Linked DNA regions of Notamacropus eugenii. The protein of the gene in region 2 interacts with the protein of the main gene of each other region in a pairwise test. Links are inferred from orthologs where the notes say so. Each region holds a gene or a part of one and is shown on either strand. Other genes may lie near its edges.

Region 1 (6,923 bases), about 30 Mb from region 2:
TATCGTACAAGAAACACACAGTTTCTACACAGACTTCCACAATTCAATGACACTTAAAAACCTTGAGACACATTAATGCTTTATTTCTAAGTAGTGGTGAGATTATATTTACTTATAAGGAAGACTTAGTGGTGCTCAGGCACCATCTCCAACCAGACGCCTTTCCTAGTGTTCTTCAGTTTTTCATATTCTCTTCTTTCTCAAATTATTCAGTTTGGCTTCTCTCTACATTTATTTTTAACCCCTCAGAATGTAAAATCCTTGGGAACAGAGTTTTGGGTTTGTTTTTTTTAATTCCCACTGCCTAGCAGAGTACTTTTCACATAGTAGATACACTTCTTCTGTGCTGGTTGAGTTGAAAAAATAGAACACTTTGGAGGAAATCATCTCATGGTACTAAAGAAATGACTACCTATGACCTCCCATAGAATCCTAAAGCGGTAAGCACCTTACTAGATCATATTGTCTGGTCCCCTGCCTTCATTCAGACACCTTATTATCCTCATTCTACAGATAAAGGGAGGGTAACATCTAAAAGGTCACACAGCTAATAAATGATGGAACAAGGACTAGAACTCAGGTCTTCTGCCTCCAACTGTGCTCTCTGCACTACTTCACACTGGCACTCAGAGGTGGCCTAGACAGGGACACAAGGAACTCAAGATGCTGATGATGTCCAATAAACTCCATTGGGTTTGGGAAGGACAATGGTTCCCAAAGGTTCTCCCTTCCTTTGTCTCAGTGTAGTTTGTGTCTCCGTTACACACCACTCAGCTTGACAGTCACTCCTCAGCTTTTTAAAAAGACATTCCCTCCAGAGGGGAAACATGACATCAACTCCCTTCTCCCACACTAGTCAGTCTGTCCATAGGCCAGTCCCCCAGTAAAGGGGAGCACAGACCTGTGACTCGCCCATCAATTTCTCAGCTCAGCTCCTTTTCACCTCCTCAGTCTTCCACTGGTCATGCTCCCTCCTACCCCAGAACCACAGAAGAGGAGTTGGAAGGACTCTAACCTTAACCTGAATAAGACCCTGCTCTCTTGCAACATTAACTTATAAATCTGGTTACTGAGCTTTTTCTTGAAGACCTTACTGCCTGCAGTCCATAACGTCTGGAGGCCTCCGTCTCACTTTCGGATAGCTTTAGTCATTAGCAGTTTTTATTCTTGTTTTTTCCCTTTTCCTCAGGGCTCAAGTAGCCACTTTGCCACTTCTGCCTGCTGGCTCCTAATTCAGTCCTTCGGGGCCAAGCAAAACACGCTTCTGTTCCCACCTGACAGGTAATGACCACGGCTCCTACAAGTCTATCTCCAGACATTTCTAGTAATGCACCTGCCACGGACCCCTCCTCATAAGAGCCCTGCCCCACCCCAGACAGTCCTACCCCCCTCAGCTCTCTCTTAGCATGGTCCCCCTATTATGCACCCCAGACAGTCCTACCCCCCCCCACCTCTCTTAGCACAGTCCCCCCACTCTACCTCCCCCAGGCAGTCCTACCCCCCTCACCTCTCTTAGCACAGTCACCCCACTCTACCTCCCACAGGCAGTCCTACTCCCCTCACCTCTCTAAACATGGCCCTCCCCAGGCAGTCCTACCCCCCCCACCTCTCTTAGCACGGTCCCCCCACTCCACCTCCCCCAGGCAGTCCTACCCCCCCCACCTCTCTTAGCACAGTCCCCCCACTCTACCTCCCCCAGGCAGTCCTACCCCCCCCACCTCTCTTAGCACAGTCCCCCCACTCTACCTCCCCCAGGCAGTCCTACCCCTCTCACCTCTCTTAGCACAGTCCCCCCACTCTACCTCCCCCAGGCAGTCCTACCCCCCTCACCTCCCTCAGCACGGCACCCCCCAGGCAGTCCTACTCCCCTCACCTCTCTAAACATGGCCCCCCCAGGCAGTCCTACCCCCCTCACCTCTCTAAACATGGTCCCCCCCAGGCAGTCCTACCCCCCTCACCTCTCTCAGCACGGCCCCCCTACTCTGCCCCCCAGGACGCCCCCACTTTCCTCACCTTCCAGTCCCGTCTCCCTCATCCACTCAACCTGCTCAATCCTGCCTCAGGCCAACCTCAGTACCGGATGTGACCCCCCAGGACGGGCTCCCTCACCTCTCCCCCAGCGCCCCCCAGGTCCCTCCTTCCATTCCTCTCTAGCCAGGACGGGGAGCCCAGCCCCCTCCCTTCCTGCTGGCACCGGCAGCCCTGCCCCCCAGTCCTGGACGCTGCCCCCTCATCCCCTCCCCCACCACAGAGAACCCTGACCTCTCAGTCCTCAGCTGCCCCCAGCAAAGCTCCGAGCCCCTCCACCCCTGCCCCCTCAGTCTCTCCCTCACACGGCCCCCAACTCCTTCCCCATCACAGCCCTGCCCCCCCTCAGTCCTCAGACCCCCTCGTCCCCTCCCCCATCACCCCCAATCACCGGCAGCGCTTCCCTCCCTCAGCCCCTCAACCCCCCCGATCCTTCCTGCCCCGCCTCCTCATGCCCTCCGCGCCGAGGCTGTCTCTCCTCACCCCGCCATCACGGCTCCGAGCATGTAGAGCAGCAGGAGGCACAAGCCGCCCAGCCTATGCGGGGCCATGGTCAGTCTCCTCAGCGACAGCCCGCACCTTCTTCCCCTATCCCGGGAGTCCCCGCTCCCCGCGGGAGGCGGGGCCGATGCACCGCCAGGCCAATCAGTGACCAGGGCATCAGCGCGTGCCGGCGCAACGACCAATCACCGACGGACACTTCAACGCCTAGCTCGCGTTCCCGGGAGGGACGGACCCGGAGAGCGGCATCCTAGGGTCGACCAATCACAGGCGGCAGCGTCACCGGCGTCGCAGCGCCCCCTCCTTTTTCCCATAGAGATACGCGGCTCTCGGATTGGAGCAAAACGACGGACTGCTGGCCAATTGCGGGCAGTAGCGCTTTTCGTGAGCCCCGCCTCCTGTCTCGCTTTGCCAATCCCTAAAAGCGATGGCTCGTCTTACCTAATCCCGAACCAATCATCGGGAGTTTTACGGCAGTCCTAGACTGGGACACAGGAAGGTTAGGTTTTTTCAAAGTCAGGGCTGGACTGCAACTGAATCTTTACTGAGCCCTCACCACTGATACAGACTTCCGAGGGGGGCATTGTCAACGTGAGAGCCGAGAAGCACCACGTGATCTCGCGGCAGACCGGGCCGAATTCGTCTCGCAGGAGCCTTCCGAGGCCGCTCCAGATCTGCCGGCGGACTGGAGTGTCTCCTGCTGTGCCTGCGCGCCTGCGCCGTGGCTCCCCTCAGCCTCCGCAGAGGAAGCTTCTGCGCAGGCGCTGGGGATGTCGGGGCAGTCCCTCTCGTCCCGCCCCCTGCTCTGCCTCGGGCGGTTCCTGCAGGTAACGTCCAGGGCCGGTGGTCTGGGAGGGTGGGGGTCATTACGCCTTCGGAGGGCAGTCCCAGGTTGACCCATGATACCCCCCCTTTTAAGAGAGGCGGGCTCCAGAGCTCCCCATTTGAGGGGGATCTCAGGTTCTCCCTCAGTTGTGGGGGGTCATCCCATGCCGTCCAATTTTAGGGGGCCCCCCGGCCTCCCCTTTTGAGGGGGATCCAAGTTTCTCCCCATTGGAGAGGGAGGGTCTCAGATTATCCCCATTTGAGGAGGGGGTCCTATGGTCTCATTTGCTGGGGCATCACAGCTTCTCCTGTAAAGTGGGGGGTCATGCAGCCCCCCAATTGGGGTGGTAGTGCCGTCTTCCTGGAGGTGATCCCACGGCCTCCTTTGGGGGGGAGGGGGCTCGGTGGGCTTCCCTCTGGAGGTGACAAGTTGGGGGATGGTCATGTGGCCTTCTCGAGCGGGGAGCAGGGAGGGTCCGGTTGGGGAGCGCCCCCCCTAACATGGGACCCAAGTCTGTCTCCCTGACCCCCCCAAGTTGTGCCCCTGGACTTGCCTCGGGTGGGAATCCCAGGGGTCCAGAGGATCCCAGAGGCCCTGGGGAGATGGGGGAGGGATTGGAAGCTGTCTCCAATTGTACAGCTTGCCCCTTCAGCCTTAAAAGGCACGATCCTGCCCCTCCCAGGATAATTTCAAAACCAAACCAAAGGAGAAAGTTTGGAGTCGAACTTCTCATTCAGGGGGGCATATGCGGGAAGCCAGGGGACACCAAGCAGGAAACTTGTATTGACCCTGAAATCTGTTTCTGCTCTCATCAATTGATCCAAATTGTGCCCTCAGGAATGAAACACAACCAGTTTCATCCCTTTTCCTCATGACAACCTTTCGAGTATATACAGACAATTGTCATGTTCCCTCTGTGTCTTTTCTTCTCCAGAATAAACATGTCTGGTTCCCTCGTTCCATTCTCAGGTGACAGACGGTTTCCTTTAGCCTCTTTGTTGTTCAGGTGGTTTGTTTTCCAAAGATTCCAGAGGGGAAAGATTTCAGCACAATGGCCTGGTTGATGTGTGCTTAAGAAGTAGAATTCATTCCAACTGTGTGAGCTTCACCTTGTGAAGCTTTTCTATTGTAGTGGTCAGTGCTGCCATCCAGCCTGCACCGCCCTGCTGCATGCCTCACTTGGTGTCTCTGGTCCTTGGGTCACTGAAGATGGTCATCTCTTGTGTCTTTCAAAGACTCTTGAAGGACTTTTTGTATCCCCAACCCTTAGCACGGTGCCCAGCACGTAGGAGATGTTTGATATGTGCTTATTGACCGACTGTTTGGATGGGAGACACCATGTAGGAGAGAGCCTTGTTCAAAGTGGCATTTTCTTCTGCCAAATCACAGGCTTTTTAAAAGCCAACAAACACCTTAGATGCAGTCATTTGTGTAGTGGTAAAGATGTGGTCCAATGGAAAAAAACACTGGTTGTCAGAGGCTGCCTGTTTGCTGCTAATCCCCTCGATCCTGAGGATGCCAATGATGCCTTTGGGGCTGATTCTCAGGGAAGTTGTAAAGTTGGTACCTGGGTGGGTGGGCAGCAGCCACCAATGTTCTCTTGCTCACCTGTGTTTGGTATTGATAGGGGCTGAGATTTTGTTTCCCACCATTGATATTTCCCCTCCTTGAAGGGAAATCCCTCATCACCCTCCTAATGGTGCTTGCTTTGGTGTGTGCCTCCTTCTTGCACTCTTACCTGAATCTAGCCTTCTTCTACAACCCTAAAAGCCCAGCCAGGGTCACTGTCAGAGTCCAGGCACACTGACTCCACTGTTGCAGACGGAGAGAAAATTTGATTGTGAAAACTTTGGCAGCTTTTCCGTTTGTCTTCTGGGCTTTGTCACCTTTAATGCCCTGGAGGTAACTGCCTCCTCTGCTCCTGGCAAACTCTCTTCAGGCTGGCTTTAGTCCCCATAATCTTTCATTCTTCTTTGTGAGATCATCTTACAAGAGTATGATCATAGAAGACTCTGAGGTCTATAGCACACAAACTGCTTTTAAACCATTTCCATGATCTGATGACTTCCTCCAGCCCAACAGGACTTTATAATACCTCTGTGACCTTAGGCAAATCCCTTACTTATAAGATGAAGGGAGTAGACTCCCCGACTGAGTTTCCTTCTAGTTTTAATTCTTTTATCTTATAAAATCATTGCATTAATTTCAGCCAAACACACTGGGTTTCTTGTGGGCTGGGCACCTTGTGATAGAGGATGGCTTGACCAAATAGGCACAAACGGCTAGCATGGACCATACAGGTAGGAATTGTTTTGTTAAGTAGTCCCAGCTGCCTGTAATTCAGTATAGCCAAACTGCCGGCCTTTCTGTGCTACTTCATTTAAAAATAGTTCACTATGTTGTCAGCGCCTCAATGATAAATGTATGTATGTTTTTGTTTCCAGTTAATTTACACAGAAACTTTGTTTCCTAGATTTGCAAAGGAGCCTCTTGAGACACAGATGGTGTCTGAGTTAAAATGGAGCAGTCAGCTGTCCACCTGTGGGTGAGAACAGAACCGTTTATAGTGGGCACTTTGCCTCTCCCTCCTCCAGCCAAATTCAGCCTTCATTATCTCAGAAAGATATCCACATATGTTCGAACCCGAGCCAGGGAGGGAGGTTACCCACGCCTCTTCTGGCCCACATGGAGGCACATTGCCTGTGGGAAGCTACAGTTAGCCAAAGACATTGCTTGGCTTTACTTTGAGATCTTCGATAGTCTGGTGCCAAGGACCCCAGAGGAGCGTCTGGAATGGGCTGACCTGATGTCTAGCTGCACGTGTGAGGAGGATATGGAGAAGCAGAGGAGTAAGGTAGGCCTTTGGGCCCAGTATTTTGGGGTTCAAACAGGAGAGAAACTATCTTTTCTACAATTGCAGTGTATAGGTTGGGGAGGCCATCAGAGCAGTTGGCAGTGAGGACCCCAGCGTCTCTGGTTCAGAATTAACCTTAGCCCATCCCACATCATTGTAATCACCTTCTCCAGCAGCAGCAGAGCAGGGATCCCCATGGAGAAGGAAAACAGTTTGGAGTGGGGGGTGCTGGGCAACACACTACACTAATTGTAAGGTGGGAGCACACATAGGAGGGCTTCTAGCACATTCACTCTTGATTCAGACAGACAGTAAGACAGGAACAGAGACATAATAAGAGATTAAATATTACTTTATTCTGGTCTAAGGATTGCTGATAATGGAAGCACCAGCTCCTATAGCTTCCCTACAACTCTTCTCTCAGGGACCGGTGAGAATGGAAGTTCCAGCTCCTAGCATCCCCTGACCCTTGATGGGGGCTGGTCAAGGAAGGACACATGTATTCCCCTTGAAGATTCCCCCTAATCCTTGATGGGCGGGCCATCATGCGCGTACAGCATTCCAGCTTGTGCATTCCCCTCTAAGCACAGCATTGCATTGTCAGATTCTCCGCTTACTGACCAATGCCCCCTTGATTTATAGGGTAACAGACAAAGAAGGCAGTTTGCCAGCAATAACCTCCCGAGTTTTCATTATCTCATTTTTATATCTTAT
Region 2 (7,014 bases):
AAAAGTCTCAGTACTCTTTTTTATATCCGTTCCTTGTCATCACTATCCCCATATCATCTTGTACCTCCAGGTATTCCCCCAGGCTCCCCACTTTAAGTCCCTCAAAATCTCTTCTACAGACCACCAAATCCCTGCTTAATTCCCTCCTGTTGTCTTTCCCCTACCCTCCTTCCTGCCCCCATACCTCTTTTCCATTTACTTCCAGAGGACTTAATTGATAAGGCTTAGAACACTGGTAAATGGAGTCATAGAGAATCCCGGAGATGTAAAGGACAGATTTCCAAATTTGGTAGAACATCCTCAGAGAGTATAGTGCAAGGGTGGCAGCTGCCTGAAACTACTCTCCTCTGTGAGTTCTGTCCAGTGCAGCCTCTGGCCCCTTTCCTCAACCCTTGATCCCCTGGATCTGCTAATGAGTAACTAGTCTTGTTTTCCAACCCAACTCTGGGTTGTTGACAGTGTTCTGGGCTTTCCTCCCCCTCCTCAAATTACATACTAGCAGCATAACTGGGAGTTTACACCTGGCTGGGGGAGGGGAAGGGTGCAGCCTTCTGGAGGTTCCTTCATTCATTCACTGGCAGTATTTATTGTATACTATATTCATAGCACCATGTCTGGTGAGGGAGAGAGAATATAGACAGAAGTCCTGTCCTCAAAGAGCATATTATCTAATTAAGGAGACAAACACTGCAGCAAAATCATTACATTAAAAAAGTAATTATTAAGTACTTTTTATATACTGTGCTGGGCATAGAGAAAGATATATTAGATTTCAGAGGAACCTAAAAAGTTCAAACCCTGCATTTTTAACAAATAACCAAACAGGTCTGAAAAAGGAGTGATTTTTCCAAGGTCACATTACTACTAAGTGGCAGAGCTGGCAATCAATCCAAATCCTCTGACTCCAAGTCCAGTAATTTTTTTTCAACTTTTTTTTAAAGTTTATTTTTAGTTTTCAACATTCACTTCCATAAGATTTTGAGTTACAAATTTTTCCCCTTTCCTCCCCTTCCCCCACCCCAATCTGATATAGACTCTACATATACATTATACATATAGTCCTACAATATGATATAGGCTCTACGTATACATATAGGTCTGCAATCTGATATAGGCTCTACATATATATATATGTGTATATATGTATATATATATGTACATGTACATATAGTCCTGCAATTTGATATAGGCTATACATATACATATAGGCCTGCAACCTGATGTAGGTCATACATATACATACAGGCCTGCAATCTGATATAGGTGCTACATATACACATATATGTACATATACACAGAGGCCTGCAATCTGATATAGGTGCTACATATACATATATATGTACATATACATACAGGCCTGCAATCTGATATAGGTGCTACATATACACATATATGTACATATACACACAGGCCTACAATCTGATATAGGTGCTACGTATACATTCATATTAAACATTTTCACATTAGTCGTGCTGTAAAGTTCAGTACTCTTTCCATTAAACCAAATTACCTTCTGCTACCTATCCTCATTGACCTCACAATCTCATAGTGCACAAAACATACATAAATAACTATAGTGCAAAGAACAAAAGTATATGAGAGGAGCAAATAAAATGCACCTTTCTGCAAAATAACAGGATCAGTTGGGGGATGAGAAGCAAACAGAAGGCTACTATTACCTGAAGGAAATGTCACTTAAAGGTAGCTTTAGAGGATGAATAGGATTAGGAGGTAAGAAAGTTTGAGAAGCAAATAACTCCATTTTGCAGAAGCTTAAATGTTCAGAAAGAAATGCATACAAGGGTTAAACAATAGTGGGAAACAAGGATGCAAGAGAAATTTTCGAACAATAAAGCACAGCCAAATTTATAAAATCTCAGAGTTGGAACCCTACTCAATGGGGAACATATAGCCCACTATACCCCGCTCCACCCCCAAGGGCTATACACCTATACCTTAAAAAGAATCTACTCTAATCATCCTCTACTCCTGGTCATCTGGTGTTTACTTGAATGACTCCAGTGAGGGGAAACCCACCACCTAAAGAGGCACCACTCCCTTGCATTTGCAGAAGGCTCCATTAGGAAAAAACCCAATATATCTGTCCATTGCTCCAAGTTCTGACAGCTGGGGCCGCAGAGGAATGGTAGAATTACTCTAACAAATGACAACTTTTCAAATACTTGAGGACAGTTATATCCCTCCTTGAGCCTTCAGTTTTCCAGCTAACAAATCTCCTGTTCCTTCCATCAGTTATGAACATATTTGTATATGTATGTATATTAGGGACAGCTTGATGGCCCAGGCCTGGAGTCAGGAAGACCTGAGTTCAAATCTGACCTTAGCCGCTTATTAGCTGTGTGACCTCGAGCAAGTCACTTAGTCACTTGGCAAGTTTCCTCATCTAAAATGAGCTGGAGAAGGAAACTGTAAACCACTCCAGCAGTATCTTTGCCAAGAAAACCCTAAATGGGGTCACCAAGGGTTGGATGTGACTGAACAACAACAAAGGTATATGTATGTATCTGTGTATGTAAATTTCCTCCAAGTCCCTCACCATCCTGGTTGTCCTCCCTTGAATGCTTCCCAGTTCCTAACTGTCCTTTCAAAAATGTGGTACCCCAAAGTGAACACAGGACTCCATATGTGATCTGACCAGGGCTGAAAATCACAAAGCTATTTTCCACATTCTGGACAACATACCTCTTTTAATGCAGTCTATGATAAATCTTACAGGGGGAAAAAAAAAAGAGGGCCTGATCTGAGATTCAATTGGTTGGATTTAAATTGGTAATTAATAAAATTGCACTGGATAAATAATTTTTTGTCTTTAGCCCATTTTGAAGGCCCAATGTAAAGAAAAATCATCTTGAACAGTGAAAGCTATGTAAAAGCTGAATGAGCTGTTAAAGAGTAGTTGTTCTCTCTCATCCAGGTCTTCTAAGTAGAATCTTGATGACCCCTTTGCTGGGGATTTCTTGAGGAGAAGCTTTTGCTGAGGTATGGGTTGGAATAAGCTGCCTCTTAAATCCCTTACAGTTCTGAAATGGTGACCCTCCTAGCCCCAAGGGGACCTCCAAAGGTCTTGCCTAGCCACCGAGCACTACTCTCTGGATTTGTCACCTCCTCTATGGTCCAGACTTCCTCTGGTTCCCCCATTCCCTATCCCTGGTCTTTGTCCCACTACCAGCTACCACCTTCCATTTCCCTTCCCCCACCAGCATTAAGCAAGAGTAACAAAATGGCAGCAACCTCCGCCCTCAAAAAATATGGCCTCTTTACCTCTTCCCCCACCCCCTCCATTTAAGGCAGAGATGTCAACGAGTGGTTTGGCTACTCTCGTGACCCTTAGGAAGGAAAAAAAAAAAACGCAAACCCGCCCACGTATGAATCCCACCCTGAAAAACTTCGCGTTGCCCAAAAGAAATATGGCGGCTGGCTCGTGCCCCTCTGAATGAACATGGTGCGGAGCCCCAACCTTCACCGCCCCTAACCGCCTGCTTGGAAGGTTACCTAAGGAGAGGTGGAAGCGGGTTTACTTTAGGTGTCTAAAATATTGCCGTCCGATGGACGCGGCCAACCGCGAATTTCTTCCCTTTTTAGAGAAGCAACCTCCATGCCAAAGGCACAGTCCTCCCACTCACGAGAGAACAGGTCTTTTGCGAGATAGACGGAAAGCCCCAACGGGAAAATTACTTTCAGGCATTTGCTGTAGTCATCCGCTACGCGACCTCCCCACCCTCCTCGCGCTGTGGCGCAGGCGCGCACTGTAGGCTGGTAAATCCAATCAGTGGGGCGGGTCCTCAATCGTGTACGCAAGCGCAGTGTGGTTTGCGCAAGCGCACTAAGGTCCCCCGGGAGGCGGCGACGGTGGCTCCTGTGGGTGCTCGGCTTCCTCCCACCTTGGCCGAGCCCCGACTCGTTTCCTCTTAGGGGCTCCCCGGTAACCCGGGCTGCCCCTTTCCTCGTCGTACCCCACAGAAGGAAATCTTGGGGACCGGGGGAACCGGAAGTGCCGTCTCGCGACCCCCCAGTTTCTATCGGGGAACAGGAAGTGTTCGTGCGGAAGTGTGGGGGCAGGACCGGAAGTGGCGTTGCCGCCGGGAGGCCGGGGGCGGAGCCGCGGGGCAGGTGTGTGTATATGCGTGTGTGTGTATGTATGTATGTGGGTGTACGTACTTACCAGCTAGTGTGTATGTATGTGGGTGTACGTACATGTATGTATATGTGTTTGTACTTGTGCGTAGTTCTCACTGTACCACCGAGGGGAAGGGTGACATCCAGCTAGACCGGGGCCTCTCTTTTCCTTCCGTCATTGTCCCGATTTCCTGATCTGTCGCGACAGAAGCAGGCTCGCGGGCTCCCTATCGCGGTGGGCGTGGCATGGTGCGCGTGCGTGGCGCATGTCTCCCTGGTCCCTTCTCACCTTCTTGACAGAAGGGACCTCCCAATCTTATTCAGGCCTTTACCCCGCACGCCTTCCCCTCCCCCCCATCCTTTTTTCTCATTCTTGTCCTCCTTTGGGTCGTGACAGATGCTGCCTTGACGTTATTACAGGCGTTATTTCAAAGCCTCTCCTGTATTTGAGTTACTGCTCTTGTTATTCTCTTCCCCTCACCCAGGGTTAGAAGCTCAATGTGTGTGTGCTTGGAGTTGGAGTGGGGGTTGGATTCCTTGGGGAGTTGTGGTAGAGTTTGGATCAGCACTTGGAACGTAGGAACTTAGCTAGATCCTGTGATAACAATTTAGTCTTGTTTTCTTCTTCAGCGTGTTCATCATGGAACCCAGTGATAATAGCAGCAGTGCTATGGAGGAACCAGCCAACTTGGAGGTACTGGTGAAGACCTTGGACTCCCAGACTCGAACCTTCACTGTGGGGGCTGAGGTGAGAGCTGAGGGTTCAAAAATCTTCGGAGTTTCTATAAAAAGCTTTTCCTTAATCACTTTTTCATCCTGAGAAAAGGACCCACCAGATTCTCTGTCTGTCTTCTATTTACATGTATTATTCATATTGAACATCAGTTAGTGGATTTTAGAACTGGAAAGTAGTTTAGAGATCATCTGGTTCTCTTCATTTTGTAGATAAAGAAACATCTCATGAAAGTGTTCTGATTGTTGTCTGGGTCACAGAGAGATGCATTTCCTAAGAGGACAGTCTCTTTATCATATGAATAATTATGTTCTTAGGAGAATCCTAGAGGCAAAAAAAGAGTATGAATTTCTTGTCCTTGAAGAGCCTCCAGCTGTAATGGAAAAAGATATGGAACCTGTGGGGGGTGAGGGTGGGGGCAGGGCACGCTGGCAGAAACCACAAGTAGACTTGAGAAAGTATGAGGGTAATTAGGGATGTTTCTTTCCTTAACTTTGCTGGCTCATAATAGTTTGGCTCTCTAAGGCAAGGCCAACAAAACTACAAGGCTTCCAAGTCCCATCAAGCTGGAAAGGCTTTGATTACGGATCCAGCAGTGTACTAAATATTTGTCATTTGAGAAATACTCAGAGGAGGTTGATCATCACAAGATTGGCCTACAAATGAATTTTTTGTTTACAGTAATTTATTAAACTATTAAGTAGTAGAATAGTTGTGATCCATATCAGTAGAGAAAGTATAACATGGATGAAAGTGAAGAACCTAGAAGTAGGGTTGTTTGGGGATATTCTCAAGTTTTGAAATCTCACGGAGAAAAACCATTTATCACTTCAAATCATGCCCTGGTTTCTGGCACAGGGACAGAATAACTGAGTTAGGATACACCCTAAGTCTGGTTTAGTTGATCAGTATTGTGGAAATAATGGTATACTTAGAGTTAGGAAAGATTTAGGATTGATAAAATCACCAAACATCTCTAAACCTAGATTTCCTTATGAGTGAACTAGAAATGATAAATTTATAATACCTCTCTATGTTATTTGCTTTTGCAAAACTGTAAAATGCTCTATAAATGTTTATTTTTACTATTGTTGTTAACTTGATACAAAGACAGCAACGTAAGGAAGAATATTTTGTATGTGTATGTCTATATATACACCTACGTACATAAACACATTTATACATGTATGTGTATGTCTACTTATACATAGATAACACAAAAAGCCTATTTCTTTGGACATGCACAAGTCATTAATCTCATCTGTTAAACTAATCTCATCTGATATCCAAACACAGTCTGGGACCCTGTGTCTGATTACAGTTCCTTTTCCCTCACAGAATGTTCCCTTATTAACCATACTTATATCTATGGTAAGGTTCTCCCTACCTGTAACTCCAGACATAGAACCAAAGGGAAGGGAGAGAATATAGGACTTAACGGGACTCTGTTGTTATGTCTTAATTCTCTCCTGGGCTAGCCATTGAATTTCCATTTAAAACCATTGCTGTGATTTCACATGTGTAATTGATATCATATTGTTGCCTCTCAGTGGGTGTGGGAGGGACGGAGAGAATTTAGAATTCAGAATTTAAAAGGAAAATGTCAAAAATAAATAATAAATTGCAATTTTAAAAATTGCTGTTTTCTGTCAGGTATTTCTTAGCCCAGAACCTTGCAGGCAGTGGCTACTTCATAAATGTAATAAAATGGGCAATGATTTTTATAACTGTTATGTGACTCACCCCCCCTCTACCCCCCACTAATTGCTTGATATTCTGCATTACATATTCTGTGACCTTTCTTCCTGTTCCTTTTCATCTCTGCAGATGACAGTGAAGGAATTTAAGGAGCATATTGCTGCCTCGGTCAGCATCCCTTCTGAGAAACAGCGACTCATATATCAGGGGCGAGTTCTGCAGGATGAGAAGAAGCTACAGGAATACAGTGAGGGGCTAGATGGGGCTTCAGGAGAAGGATTATTTGCTGGTTGGGGGGAGGGTTGAGGTATTTAACTGACTTTTCCCTCACTCTTCTCTTCTCTTTTCTCATTTACTACAGATGTTGGGGGAAAGGTGATCCATCTGGTGGAGCGGGCCCCTCCACAGACCCAGCCTCCATCCTCTGGGGTTGCCTCGGGGGCAGG
Region 3 (6,969 bases), on a different chromosome or scaffold from region 2:
GTGAATGATAAATATTCACTTACAAGATTAATTCATTCTTTAGTTTATGTTAACTAATTTATCAAAGCAGCAGTCTTTTATTAAATAATTGGATAAAGGGGAAGCAAATTTAATTTTAGCTTTCTGAAAGAGTGACTTTGGACTGAATTAATAAGTGAACATTATTAAAGCCTAGAGATTAAAAAAAGGAGATGCACTAATTTAGTATTTCTCTGACCTGGCTTAGTCCCAGGAGAGGAAGAAATCATCACCTGATCATTAAATTAATAAATCATTCATAATAAATTGTTTCATTATAATTAGCCTGAATGACACAAAGACATGGTGCCAGATAAAAATTAGCATTTTGAGGATTACATGATATTGAAAAAGTGAGATGATGTTTATTATCAGTAAAATGCTTACTCACTTTTAAGAAAATTTAAAAAAATTTCCACAATAATTGGTGAGAACTTACTATATTTGCAAATTGGGATCAATGTTGTTTTGATCATTTTAAGCCAGGGCAAATGTTATTATTCTCCTCATAACATTGATTATTAGAAAGCAGAAAACACAAGCAGGGTGAAAAACTTACCGGAAGTGAGGCAGTCCCGACCCTCCTCTGTTCTTACCACATCAATTCCCGGCAATGGGAGGAGTGAGAAGATATTTCCAATATTTTATTAACCATTGGTCACAGCTATACAATTATTTTCTCAAAGAACTATTGGAAATTTTATGTATTCTAATAAAAATTTCATATAACCTACTTGCACAAAGTATATTTTAAGACAATTTTTTACCCAGCACTAGGTTTTGACTAACACACAAGTAAAGTCTCTCACTAATGGGAGACTCTAAATGCATCAAAACATTTGACTTTGCTGCTGACATTATTAAACACACATAGCCTATAAGACATTTAATAAACTAGTTTCCCTTCATATGAGAAACTCCAGTTAAATGTATACATGATCTAAGGTACTTCTGTAATGTTCCATCTACTTAGATTTTAATTGAGAGCGACCTGTGACTAAGTTTTTGGCTTTATCGGTTAGTGAATGACTTCCTACTTACCCTTTCAAGCTTTTTCTGGCTTAATGAATATGTCTAGAATGTATAAATATCTTTCATCAGTGTATAAATCAGTTTTTTTCTTGCCTTGGCTAACATATTAAGTTTTTGTTCTTATCTCAGTTTATGATGTAAATAAACTTTTGAACGATCTGCTCCGATGCTGGAGCATTGTTTAATTCATTACACACATTGTGGTAAAGACCTGTGGGAGTAATCCCACATCTGCTTCCAGAGGTAGGTAATTTCTCTCCTGTCATAGACTCTCTATAAACTGAAGTTATCTTAAATTCCATCAAACCTTACCGTGTATGTGATGGTCTCCTCTGTCTCCTGTGACCTTACAAGAGCAAGAGTCAAAGTGGTCAGGAAGAGTATTTTCAACATCCTGAATCTCAAAGGAAACACAAGACAAATGGATTTTTAATATCTGTTGATTGAAAGGACAAGACATGAGATACAATGTAACCTCTAAAGGAAGATAGAGGGCAGGGGAGGCTGTCTACCACACTGTACTAAGAATTCACTTTCTCATCTGACTCTACCCCACCCTTCCTCTTCGCCAAACTAGGCACCAAAAGTAGCAAAAAAAAAAAAAAAAAAAAAAAAAAAAAGCAGCAGAAACCCCTCTTCACCTGGAAGACAGAGCTACATATACAAAGTCCCAAAGTAATAAAGATGGCCATCTCATTGGATATCACACTTAGAAAGAGAATTAACCATCATAGGTTTCAAAGGAGGTAATGTACATTCCTTACTAGTCTTTTGGAGAGAGGAGGTGTGCGTATATGTGTGTGTTTGGGGGGATATTTTTAACACAACTTCAGATTTCTTAAAGATTTTCACTGTCTTTCTAAGAACCAGAGCAAAGCCCTGCAAAGTCCGTGGTGGGGGGCACCCCCACATTTCCTTAGTTCGAGATTTTTGTAGAGATCTCTTAATCATGTTCTTCTCTCACCCTACTAGTTACCCACCCATCTCGGTAGTCCTCTCTTGGCAGCTCTCCCCTCCCCCGCACAAATTTTCCCATTGGATCTTCCACAGAGGTTCTCAGCTAACAGTGTGTATATAGCCTTACAAGTCTCACGCAAAGAAGATAAGTAACCTGGAGTGCCTGGCTCCCTTTTTCATCGTCTTTCCCCCCTACCCCCCATAAGACCCAGGAGTTTGCATAGTCTCCAGGCAGAGGGCACAGAGAAAGACGTTGTAGGGTGGCCAGGGTTGGGGGTTGGGAAGGTTGGGGGCGCGGCTGGCTGTGGTCTGGGCGGGCATGGAGGTGTTTTCCAGCTTCTTTGGAGGAGCCTACCTAACTCCGGGGGACAGAGCCGCAGAATTAAGCGCTCCTACTTTTAATTAACTCAGTTTTTGAAGGACTACAGATTTGGCTTAGAGCACACTCACGCTGAGACCCATACATACCTACAAAGCACACCACACGCAAGCAATCTGAAATATACAAAATCATATTTACATCCACGCAAACGTGCTGATTTACACACACATATATGGAACGAAGAAAACGCACATTGATGCAAATGCAATGCAATTCCAATGTATGGACACTCCTATTCTGTAATATCAGCTACCTCTAAACACACACACTCAGCGTGTACACACCTGATACCTAAAGTCTTAACTGGTGCAGAGATACGCAGACCTGTGCCAGCAGACCTGTGTGCCAGCAGAGTCGCTGCCACATTCCCTCAGTGCAAGTTCCATTTTCTCACCAGGACCCACCTATGAACTTGTGCATACACGGCCGGTTGCTAACTAAATTCTAAAAGCTCTAAGATCGCTCCGGAGGGCTCCTACCTGCAAGGGTGCGCTTTCCCCTCCAGCCCGGGGCCGTAAAGGTGTGTGCGATGCAGAGCGAAGCTAGATGAGTCTGAGCTGGTGAGGTCTGGCAGCAGCAGCAGAGGCAGGAGGAGGAGGAAGAGGAGAGAGGGAGGGAAAGGGGGAGGGAACTGAGGGAGGCGCAGGGCCGGTGCAAGTGAGGCAGCCCCTCCGGGAGACCGCGGCTCTGTTCTCCGCGCGCCCTCCTCCTCCTCCTCCTCCTCCTCCTCCAGACCCGCCCGCCCCGCCTCCCCACACCCTGCTCCTGGCGCCTCAGCTCCTTCCCCCCCAACCCCCCTTTCTAGTCCACCTTCAACTTCTTCCCTCTTTCCCTCCCTCCCTCTGGGCTTTGCCTTTCGGGGAACTATAAAATGTAGGCTGGACTGGGGCACATTTGGCTATGTTTTCTCCTGGTTTGAAATAAGACTTCATTTTTCTCCGGTCCTTCAGTTAAAAACATGTTATACACTGGACACAGAATTTTTTACAGTGATTAGGATTATTCTTAAAATTTTTTTTTTTTAAAGAACAAGTTACTCCTTTCCCTTTCTGGCCTCCCCTTCTCTCTCCCTCTCTCTAGTGAGTACCTGAAAAGGCCTTAGCCTAAAAGGTCAAGGTCTCCCTGGGCCTTCTCCAGTCATCCTGATGAATATCTGATCACTGGACCCAGGTGGCTCAGGAGGAGAAAGTGAGGCTGGTGATCTTCCACAGCCCTCCCTCACTCAGATCAAAGTCAACTGCAAGTCACGTTTTCATCTTGATGTCACCGTCCTCTTCCAAAAGAAGGATGAACACAACAACCCTCTCTCTTGCAGTCTTCCCTTCCCTAATGTAGAATTTCAGGCATTAGCAAGAAGTACCCTTTGGGGAAGGGGAAGTCTTCCCAGGTCTGTCAAATCATAACATCTGTTCTTAAAGTTTTCATGTTAAAGTCAGACTAATAGTTTGTACGCATATCTTCAGATAGCAACCCACTATACTACGCCTTCTCATCCTTTTCCTACTTATTCATGCCCATCTCTCATAAATTTCCACAAGGGTTTACCCTAGGTGCAGAGGGCCTTCCTTTGGTCCTTCGGGGGCTACTGATGGGGTACATTGACTATTCACTATCTTTCACTCTTACCTCAGGACCCATCATACTTCGTTTTCAGACTATACCTCTCTTTGATAACATCACACCACTGCAAAATTAATTGCTGATCAACTGTAGTCTACTTTGGCCCTTCATGAGCCTCTCTTTTGGGTAATTCATAAATTTAATTTTTTGTATGCTGGTATTCTGTGATTTGCAGCAATACACAGTCAGCAAAAGATAGGGATCTTAAAGAGATGGGACTTTCAGGGTCATTAAAAACTCTGCAAAATTTCTTTTTAATAATATTTATTTTTATTTTCAACTTTACAACCTGGGCAATTCTGTATCTGTAGAAATGCATAAAAGAGGATTATGTATGAAACTGCAGATCGCTATTATGTACAGCTTGCTGTATTTTTTAAGTATATAATTCAACCTGTAACTATCAAAGATGCCCTGCTTGTTTTTTTTCTTTAAAAAAGATGACTCATGTCCTACTGATTCTAGGGCCCGGTGCTCTAGATCTCGTATTATCTAACTGCCCTTGCACAGAATTCTTAAAAAGAGCTCGAAGTTGTTTGTCTTTACACTTTTGATGTTGCATAAATTGTTCTCCTGGCTCTGCTCACTTCATTCTGTATCTTTTTCTATAAATACTCCCAAGTTTCTGTGAAACTATCCCCTTTTCATTTCTTATGGCCACAATGATGTTTCATCATATTCATAAGTATTCCAACATATTCATGCTCCATACATATTCAGGTACCATTCTTTGCCACCACAAAAAACAGCGTCATAAGTATTTTTGTACAAACAACCCATTCATTTTACAGCACTAGTAAGTAGTAGCTGGGTGGCACAGTGTGTAGAGTACTGGGCCTGGAGTTAAAAAGACTCATCTTTATGGGTACAAATCCAGCCTCAAACACCTAGTAGTTGTGCGATCCTGGGCAAGTCAATCCCGATTGCCTCCCCCCACTCCCCCTGCAAAAAAAAGAACTGCAATGAGCACCTTCATTCCAGATGACCAGTGATGAAGTGGGTTACCCACCTTCTGACAGAGAGGTGATAGACACCAAATACAGAATGAGACGTATATTTTTGGATATGACCAAGGTAGGAACTTGTTTTGTTTGATTATGCATATTTGGTGCATAATAAGTGACTAATAAATGTTTATTGGTTAAAAAAGATGCTTCAATGTCCCTTTCCTTTCCTTTCCTTTCCTTTCCTTTCCTTTCCTTTCCTTTCCTTTCCTTTCCTTTCCTTTCCTTTCCTTTCCTTTCCTTTCCTTTCCTTTCCTTTCCTTTCCTTTCCTTTCCTTTCCTTTCCTTTCCTTTCCTTCCCTTCCCTTCCCTTCCCTTCCCTTCCCTTCCCTTCCCTTCCCTCCCCTCCCCTCCCCTCCCCTCCCCTCCCCTCCCCTCCCCTCTCCTCTCCTCTCCTCTCCTCTCCTCTCCTCTCCTCTCCTCTCCTCTCCTCTCCTCTCTTCTCTTCTCTCCTTTCCTCTCCTCTCCTCGCCTCTCCTCGCCTCTCCTTGCCTCTCCTCGCCTACTCCTCACCTCTCCTCTTCTTGCCTCTCCTCTCCTTTCCTTTCTTTTTCTCTCCTTTCTTTTTCCTTGTTCTCCTCTCCTTTCTCTCCTCTCTTCTTTTTCTTCCTTCCTTCATCTCTCTTTTTCTTTTCTTCCTTTTCCTTTTTTTCTTATTCTACTTTCCCTCATCCTTCACATTGAAAGAAAAAACGATTCACAGAAATATGCAAAACAAAGTACTACATTGGCTATGTCTTATTCTACTTCTTAAGCTCATTACCTCTTTCTCAAGCGATGAGTAGCTTCATAGTCACTCCTCTGGAATCATCATTGGTCATTGCCTTGGTCAAAGTTCTCAAGCCTTTAATAGTTGTTTTCTTTACAATTTTATTATTATTGTATAAATTGTTTTAGTTCTACTCACTCCACTCTAGATTAGTTCATATTTGTCTTTGCAGGTTTTTCTGAAGCATACATTTCATTATTTCTTAGGGCACAATAATTCTCTATTAGTTTTGTATAACATAATTTGTTATCCCGTCTCTAATAAAGGGGGCTTTAATTTCAAGTCCTTTGCCTGAACATAGAAGACATTTAAAGAATGCTTGCTAGATTGGAATAGATTGGATGGACCAGCTCTAAGGCTTTTCCATCTAATTATATATCATGATCTGGATAATAAACATTCTTTATCCACTTAGTTTTTCCTTTGTAGGTAGTTAGGTTGAACTCTTTTGAGTTAGAGATTAGATCCTTGTGGGCAGGGACTATATTCTGCCTCTTTTTTGCATCACTGGTGCTTAGCAAAGTGCCTGGCACATAGTAAGTACTTGATAAATATTTACCGATCGATTGAGGCATGTATCTGATGTAGGAAATTCTGCAGTATTCCACAGTTTGAAATATCAGCAAAATATCATTTGAAAATAGGTCCTCACCATTTATAGGGGATCCCATTTCCATTTAAATTCCGTATTGGACATTCTGTATGGCAAAGGCAAACATCTCTGGTGAGCATGAGCTTGTGTATTTCTTATATACTATCATTAGTATATAAGCATATATGTTTATATGCATAATATTATTATATTGGATATTGTATTTATATGCAACAATATATTATAGAAGTATATATTCTATAGCTATTGAAATTATTATGGAAATTCTATAGTTATTGAAATTATATTATTGAAATGTTATATTTTATAATTATGTAAATAACTATATATTATTACATAATATATAATAATATAATAACAGTATAACATAATACAGATAATTATATGTCTTAGAACATTAAAATTTTTGTATATTTAAATAGCATTATATGCATTATCTCATACTATATATTATATTATTAGAGAATATAGAACATATAGTTCAATTAATAATATACAATTCTATCATAATTATAAAATTCAATTATGTGTAATGTAATTATGATAAATTTCAATATGGTATATTTATAAATTG
Region 4 (7,343 bases), on a different chromosome or scaffold from region 2:
TAAAAACCAAAATCAGATTTTGTATTTGATTCTAGAGTCAAGAGGGAGCCACTGGAGTTCATTTAATTGAAGGTTGTTAACATGGTCCAACTACCTGTGCTTTGCAAAGCTCACTTGGACGGCTGAGTGGAGGAGAAAGGGAAATGGAGAGAGACTTGAGGTAGGCTAACCATTAGGCTATTGGAATAGTCTTGGCATGAGGTAATTAGGGTTTTTACCAACATGGTGGTAGTGTGAGAAGAGAGAAGAGGATGTGTAGAAGAGATGTTGTAAGGTAAAATCAGTAAGTCAACACTCTCCAATTGCCTATAGGATACCTAGTTCAAAATGTCTAATAGGCAATTGGAGATTCTAGAATGGAAGTCAAGAGAAAGGTTATGGCTGGATAAATAGATCTGAGAATCATTTGTATAGAGATGAGAATTGAATATACAGGACCTATGAGATCACCGAGCAAGGTAATGTAAAGAGGAAAGAGAAGAGGTCCCAGAAGAAAGACTTGAAGGATAATCAGGTGCACACTCAACGAGGAGACAGAAAAGGAGACACTAACAATTAAATAGTGACCACAATTAGTATTTATACTGTACTTAGATGTCTGTAAAGTCCTTTGTATATGTTATCTCATTTGATCCTCATAACAACTCTGTGATGTAGCTGATATCAGCCCCATTTTATATATAAGGAAATTGAGGCTGAGAAAAGTCTAGTGACTTGCTCAGGGTCACTCAGCTAAATCAGTGCCTGAGGAAGAGTTTGAACTTGTCTTCTTGACAAGCTTTCTTTTTCAGTAGACTGGATTGGTGCTGGCCAACTATATCATAACTCCTTTCTAGAGTATAAAATCCAGAGTCATGATGAGTGTTGCTACAAGTAGCTTTCACTGATGCAACAATTTAGAAAAACAAAACATATATTTTTAGATTTCATTTCATACTGAGTAATAAACTCTCAAAATACAAAGGGCAAATACTCTTAGACACATTCTACAGATGAGAAAAAAAATCCCTTCCAGCTCTGACTCCACTTTGGGGAAAAATCATTCCCATTTCCTGATGAATTGCAGCACTTCCTTCTCAACCTTCCTTCCATTAGGAAGTTAATCATCATCTTTTGTTTCACTTGGCTGGTTTCAGGAATTGCTTCTGGGCTATTTAAAGGACTGGTGTGACCAGACTAACACAGGACATGGAAGACTTTACTTTCCCTCTTTGAAACTCTAGAGATTAGCCTTAAGACTTGCTGGGTGGGGGAGGAGTGGCAGAATATTTCCAAAGAATTAATTAAGACTCAAAAGGCATTTGGCAGAGTTTGAAACTGATTTCCTGACATTTTGCAATTCAGTAGCTTTTCTGAAAAAGAAAAAAATGCAATTCATAATCATTTGTCTGAACGAATGGATTTATGTCATGTACTTAGGCCTTAAGAACATGTGACAGTCAGCAGCCCTTTGATAAATCACAGTTCTTGGAAGTCAGTAGGAAAATGTCACCATCTAACAGAAGTTGCATTTGTATGTATATGTGTGTCTTCATAATCAGCTTTATAGACTTAATTTAATTTGCAGATAAATGACCTGTATTTAATAAAGACTTTAATGGAATGTTATTGTATGAATCTCATTCTAAGAAATGAAAGCCTATTTATTTGATTTTCTAGGAAACAAGGCTTCTCAGCAGCAGCAGGGGAGAGGAAATGTAGTGATTGTGGAACAGAACGACTTGGGTTTGAATCATGACTCTGACACCTACTGCCTCACCTGTAGGAACATTGGACTGATCCTTTCAGAACCTCTGAGGACCTCAGTTTCTTTATCTGTAAAGTGAGCGAGTTGGACTCAATGAGGCACTCCTAGCTCTAGATCCTATCTTCTCTCTGGTTCTGTGTATCTTTCCCTCTTTGCCTTTGCTCCTTACACACACACACACACACACACACACACACACACACACACACACACACACACCTGTATCATTCCCCAAACCACTTTTGCACTGAGTGGGGAAACCATAATCTTCTCCTCCTGAGATAAATGGACAGTTTGATAAAGGTCCCAAGCAAATCTATATTTTTGTATCTTTGCCATTTCTAGTCACAGGCTCATAGTATATGAATGCTGGATTTCTCTTTTAAAAAAAAATTCTTCTCTCAGGGACCTTAGATAACACAGAGTCTTGCTGCTTCCTTTAAAAATTAAGGATCTGAAACCTGAACTGATATGCCTAAAGTCAAACAGGCTCCAATGTCAGTCAGGATATAAACCCAGACCCTTTGTCTTCAAAACAAGGGTCTTTCCACTCTTGCACACTCTCTAGAGAGCCCCAAAACCTTTTATGTCACTATTTTTGGATACCTCATACTTGAGTTGGCAGATCTGCCACAGAGAAAATAGAACATGATTCTCCCTAAGGAAATCTCACCAACTGAATCTTCTTGAAGTCTCAGAGCTCTTCTTATCTGGTGCTGGGCTTTTCCTTTAGCCCCCATCTGTACCATTCCCAAAACCAATCTTGCACCAACTGGGGAAAATATAATATTCTCCTCATAAGATGAACAGATGGTTTGATAAAGGTCCAGAGCAAACCTATCATTGCTGTCCGCCAAAAGACTGGAACTGTGAATCCGGATGAGGAACGGTCCACAAACGGTCAGTAAGAATCTCCAAAACCTGGTCTGAGTCATAATCATGCCTGTGCATTGGGAGAATCAAAATTAAGTGGACAACAAAATACCAAAAAGTCACTGAATTTAATTATCAAGAAGAACCTTCCATTCCCAATGGACAAGATAGTGATGTAGAGCCAACAGAGTCCCTGTAATTTGGGGTTTTCTCATCATACATCTTTATTTTTAGGAGGAACAGGACTGGTGGATTTAATCTTGTTTTCCTTGTCACTATTTTTAAAATGTTTCTTGCATCTGCTACTCTGCCTGGTTTGAACTCCTTCACAAGAAGCCCCTGCACCAGATACCCACTCTCCATTCTCCTGCTTTTTTGTGTGAGGGGTCTCCTCCTTTGTATCTGCAGCCTCAGTACAGTGCCTGGAAATAATAGGGGCTTGATAAATGTTTATTAGATTAGATTGGATTGAAAGTCTCAACTTCTGACTTCATGAGTGCAGGGTACTTTTGAGGAAGATCAGCCACTCATCTGTAACTTACCTAGAGAGGTGCCTGGTGACTGAGTACATTAGAAATTACTGGTAGATTTATTGGTCATTTTTCAATGTAGTTTTTCCCAAGGGGCCATGGTTCTGGAATTTTGTCAGGAATTCTGTTCATTCAGAATGATCCCTTCTCATCCTTCACCACATTTGTGAGATGCTTTTCTAGAATTTTAATATCAAAGTCACTAGAGTTCCCTAATTTGAATTAGTCTTATGTGTTATGGCCTGAGAAGAAAAATGATCTCAAATGGACACAATTTGAATGGATTCTAGCTACTGCTGACATTACAGAGTTGCAGTTATATAGTTCATTGGAATAATACAGTTTTATATGTACAGATAGTTGCAATATTAGAAGTCAAATTCTTTAAAAAAAACTAATCCAGGTGCAACCATTGTTTGGATTATCCAGAATATGTTTTATATACTCATTTGAAAATCCCTTTGTTTTGGTGATCAATATCTCATGATAGGAAAGAGATATCTCAAGAGCATATTGAAAGAAATTTTGTTAAGAAAATGAGAGAATATTCTAAAGCACCAAACAAATATTTTATTAAGGAATAAATTGATACATATGGTTGTGGATGTTACTGTCTTAATGAGAAAATCAAATTGGCCAGAGAAGTTTCACATGCAACATTTTCTGTGAACAAATCTGTCCTGACATACTGAGAAAGAAGGTTTTTTGTGAGGTTTCTGAACAAAACATCTGCTTGCTATTATGCAAATAGCTAAAAATGATACAAATGCTTGTAATTCATCTAATATCAACCCCATTAGGGATCTATTTTGCATCCAAGTACAAATTAGAATTACAAACAATATTTTTCAAGTGTGTAACATGTTTTATGTTGCTTGTACCATAATCTGAAAATCAAGCCACAAGCATTTATTAAGCTTCTACTGTGTGCTAAGTCCTTTGCCAGGCACTGGACCTACAAGACACAATAGAAATAATCCCCATTTTCAAGGAACTCACACTCTTTGGGGAGAAACAATATAAGCAAATATAAAATACATGATATCATTAACCCTAACAAACATAATTTGTATAAATATGATGCTCATTACAAGCTAAGACACTGTTCCCAATTGATAGTCAAAACATATGAACAGGAAGTTTTCAGACAAAGAAATCAAAGCTATCTATCTATAGTCATATGAGAAAATGTTCTAAATAACTATTTATCAGAGAAATGCAAATTAAAACAACTTTTAGGTACCACCTCATGCCTATCAGAGCAACTAATATGACAAAAAGGGAAAATGTTGGATGTTGGAGGGGATATGGGAAAACTGGGACATTAATGCACTATTTGTGGAGTTGTGAACTAATCCAGCTCTTCTGGAGAACAATTTGGAACTATGCCCAAAGTGCTATAATACCCTTTGATTCTGCAATGCCACTGCTAGGTGTATATCCTAAAGAAATAAAAAAAAATGGGGGAAATGACCTATGTGTATAAAAATATTTATAACAGCTCTTGTGGTGACTAAGAATTGGAAATTAAAAGGATACCTATCAATTGGGGAATGAGTAAACAAGCTGTGGTATATGATTGTAATGGAACATTATTGTGCTGTAAAAAATGAAAAGCAGAATGATTTCAGAAAAGCTGGAAAAACTTACATGAATAGATATAATGAAGTAAAGAGAACCAGGAGAACGTTGCACACTGCAATAGCAATGTGGCTCAGTGAAGAACTATGAATGACTCAGCTGTTCTCAGCAAAGACAATCCCAAAGAACTAATGATGAAGTGTACTATCTGCTTACAGAGAAAGAACTGATATTAATTGAATACAGACTGAATTGTGCAATTATTCACTGTCTTTCTTTCATTTTTCCCCTTTTATTGGGGTCTTCTTATATAAAATGACTAATACAGAAATATTTTACATGATTGCATACTTATAACATATCTTATTGCTTACCATCCCAGTGAAGGGAAAGAAGAGGGAGGGAGGGATAGAATTTGGAACTAAAATTTTAAATAAAAAATGTCCCACAAAATTGGGGGAAAAGATAAGACATTGGAAATCAGATTTATAATTAGAAAAGACCTTATATGCTATGGAGTTCAACCCTACCATTTCATAGCTGATGGACTAAGGAAATAAGAAGTTAAGACTAGTCACAAGACTAGTAAGTTCTTGAAGCAAGATGTGAACCCAGGTCTGCTGACTCCAAGTACAGGACTCTTTACTATTCCTCTATCAGACATTTCTAGGCATCAGAAAATTATCCCCTTCTAGAAACATTTTCACTTACCCCTGGAGTGGTGACAGCTGAGTAGGTCTGTACTTTCATGCTGTACAATTTGGTGAAAGGTCTTGATTCAACAACTTTGAATCCAAATTTGCTATCTAATTTCCATAGTGAAATCCATTAAGATGATAAAGTAATCCCTTAATTGTTAAAACTTCAATCATACTTCCTATACCCTCAGGAATTCCAACATTTTTCAATTCTGCCGAATCATCATATGGGGTCCTATCACACCCATATGTTACACTAAAGGAGTTTCAGGTGTGAGATCAACATACTTACTTTTAAAAATGTCCGATGGTTAGTTACTGGATGTTATGCTTAGAATGAGCTTCCTGGGAACTGTTAAGAGCCTGGCTCTGTAGAAGGGCAAGGGCAAGTACATTTATCATGAAGGTTACTTGATTAATTTTTCCAAACTCACAGCAGGTGTTCAAGAATTCTGTTATGAGAGCACTAAATGATAACATTAACTGATTGCCCTTAAGAGGTGGAAGAACTGATAGAGAAAATCATTTCAATGAGTAATAAAAGGAATGGCACAAAAAAATGAACCGCTCAGAATCCATTGAACAAACGTTACCATTATTCTTCATTCTGTTTAAATTATGGCATGACTGGAAATTGAATTTGGAAGACCATGCAGTTGGTTCTGAATTGAACTAGTAGCTTATTCCTGTGGTTCCACATGAGAATTTAACACATTCCACTTGGATGCCATCATCAATATTTAATGACACTCATGAGAAAAGTAATCAAATCAAAAGTAATCAAAAGTAATCAAGTAGAACCAAGTCTAAAAGGGAATGCAGTTATATAGTATGACTGTATTTAAAAGAAAAGAATCTCTATCACATTATAGAAGTCAGGGTAGCTGGACTATGGGTACTGTCAACAGTGAGTGTGGACAATGTCCTTGAGAACTTTGCCACCTTAACTTTCAAATGGTCGTATTATACTATAGATCCATCGCAAACTTGCTAGTCACTAGGCTCTTGCACATAGTAACCATCTAAATGTGTTTTTTTCTAATCCATTCATTTGTTCACTAACACACCTAGCCATTTTTCAGGTAAGCTATTATCTCACCACAGATCCATTGTATTGTAGTTATTAATTTTAATTAAGATATACAGCTTTAAGTCCATCTTTATTAAATCTCTTGTTATTAGATACAGTACAACCTTCTTTTCCATACAGGTCTTTTGAGACCCTGTCTCTGTCACCTGACATATCATCTCTACCTCTTAACTGTTTCTTTACCCTTTATTCTTTTGCTTCTGTTACTCTCACAGGATGCTCTGTCTTCTCCTCACTCCTTGTCTTTTCACTGACTGCTCCCATGCCTGTAATTCTCTCTTCTCTCGTTTCTACCTCTTGGCTTCCTTGACTTTCTTTAAGACTCACTTCAAACCCCATCTTCTGCAGGATGCTTTTTACTTCTCACTATTTCTTCTCCTATTTTCCCTCTGAGATGACCTTCTATGTGTAATGTACATATCTAGTATGTATGTATAGTTATTTGCATGTGATCTCCACTATTAGACCGTGAGATCCTTGTGGGCAAGGATGGTGGTTTTCTCTTTCCTCTCTGTGTAGCCCTAGCACTTAGTACAGTGCTTAGGACATAGTAGGTGCTTCGTAAATGCTTGGTGACTGACTGTATCATCTTCCAATTTTATAAGCATGGTAAACATGCGTTGTCCAAATCGCTGATGAGGATATTAAGGAAACAGTGTGGGAGGATGAAAAGAACACTGACCCTGGAGACAGAGGACCGTAGTTCAGATCCTGCCTCTGGTATTTACCACTTATGTAACTTTGGGAAAATCACTTAGACTCTCTGGCCCTTGGTCTTCTCATCTGTAAATAAGAATGTTGGACTAGGTTGCTTCCAGCCAAGA

The links.
Region 1: the proteins of BAG6 (region 2) and DNAJB11 interact in a two-hybrid assay, tested with the Homo sapiens proteins (2 studies listed by BioGRID and IntAct). The link is inferred for Notamacropus eugenii from reciprocal best matches to the Homo sapiens genes BAG6 and DNAJB11.
Region 3: the proteins of BAG6 (region 2) and EFEMP1 interact in binary tests that used the Homo sapiens proteins (3 or more experiments, as listed by UniProt). The two-hybrid records come from large-scale screens. The link is inferred for Notamacropus eugenii from reciprocal best matches to the Homo sapiens genes BAG6 and EFEMP1.
Region 4: the proteins of BAG6 (region 2) and SERPINI2 interact in a two-hybrid assay, tested with the Homo sapiens proteins (2 studies listed by BioGRID and IntAct). The two-hybrid records come from large-scale screens. The link is inferred for Notamacropus eugenii from reciprocal best matches to the Homo sapiens genes BAG6 and SERPINI2.

Annotation. Positions count from the first base shown.
Region 1 is NC_092873.1:55,002,537-55,009,459, forward strand, and holds the start of DNAJB11 (dnaJ homolog subfamily B member 11), read right to left. Parts: upstream 3,027-6,923; 5' UTR 2,580-3,026; coding exon 2,512-2,579; intron 1-2,511. Other genes in the region: TBCCD1 (TBCC domain-containing protein 1), read left to right, coding at 5,874-6,209. UniProt on the Homo sapiens protein: As a co-chaperone for HSPA5 it is required for proper folding, trafficking or degradation of proteins.
Region 2 is NC_092873.1:85,277,680-85,284,693, reverse strand, and holds the start of BAG6 (large proline-rich protein BAG6), read left to right. Parts: upstream 1-3,996; 5' UTR 3,997-4,131; intron 4,132-4,259; exon of another isoform or gene 4,260-4,386; intron 4,387-4,767; 5' UTR 4,768-4,777; coding exon 4,778-4,885; intron 4,886-6,697; coding exon 6,698-6,815; intron 6,816-6,929; coding exon 6,930-7,014. Other genes in the region: APOM (apolipoprotein M), read right to left, coding at 185-298. UniProt on the Homo sapiens protein: ATP-independent molecular chaperone preventing the aggregation of misfolded and hydrophobic patches-containing proteins.
Region 3 is NC_092872.1:650,314,635-650,321,603, reverse strand, and holds the start of EFEMP1 (EGF-containing fibulin-like extracellular matrix protein 1), read right to left. Parts: upstream 3,004-6,969; 5' UTR 2,869-3,003; intron 1,451-2,868; 5' UTR 1,444-1,450; coding exon 1,363-1,443; intron 605-1,362; coding exon 578-604; intron 1-577. UniProt on the Homo sapiens protein: Binds EGFR, the EGF receptor, inducing EGFR autophosphorylation and the activation of downstream signaling pathways. May play a role in cell adhesion and migration. May function as a negative regulator of chondrocyte differentiation.
Region 4 is NC_092877.1:357,004,574-357,011,916, reverse strand, and holds the start of SERPINI2 (serpin I2), read right to left. Parts: upstream 3,007-7,343; 5' UTR 2,689-3,006; coding exon 2,421-2,688; intron 1-2,420.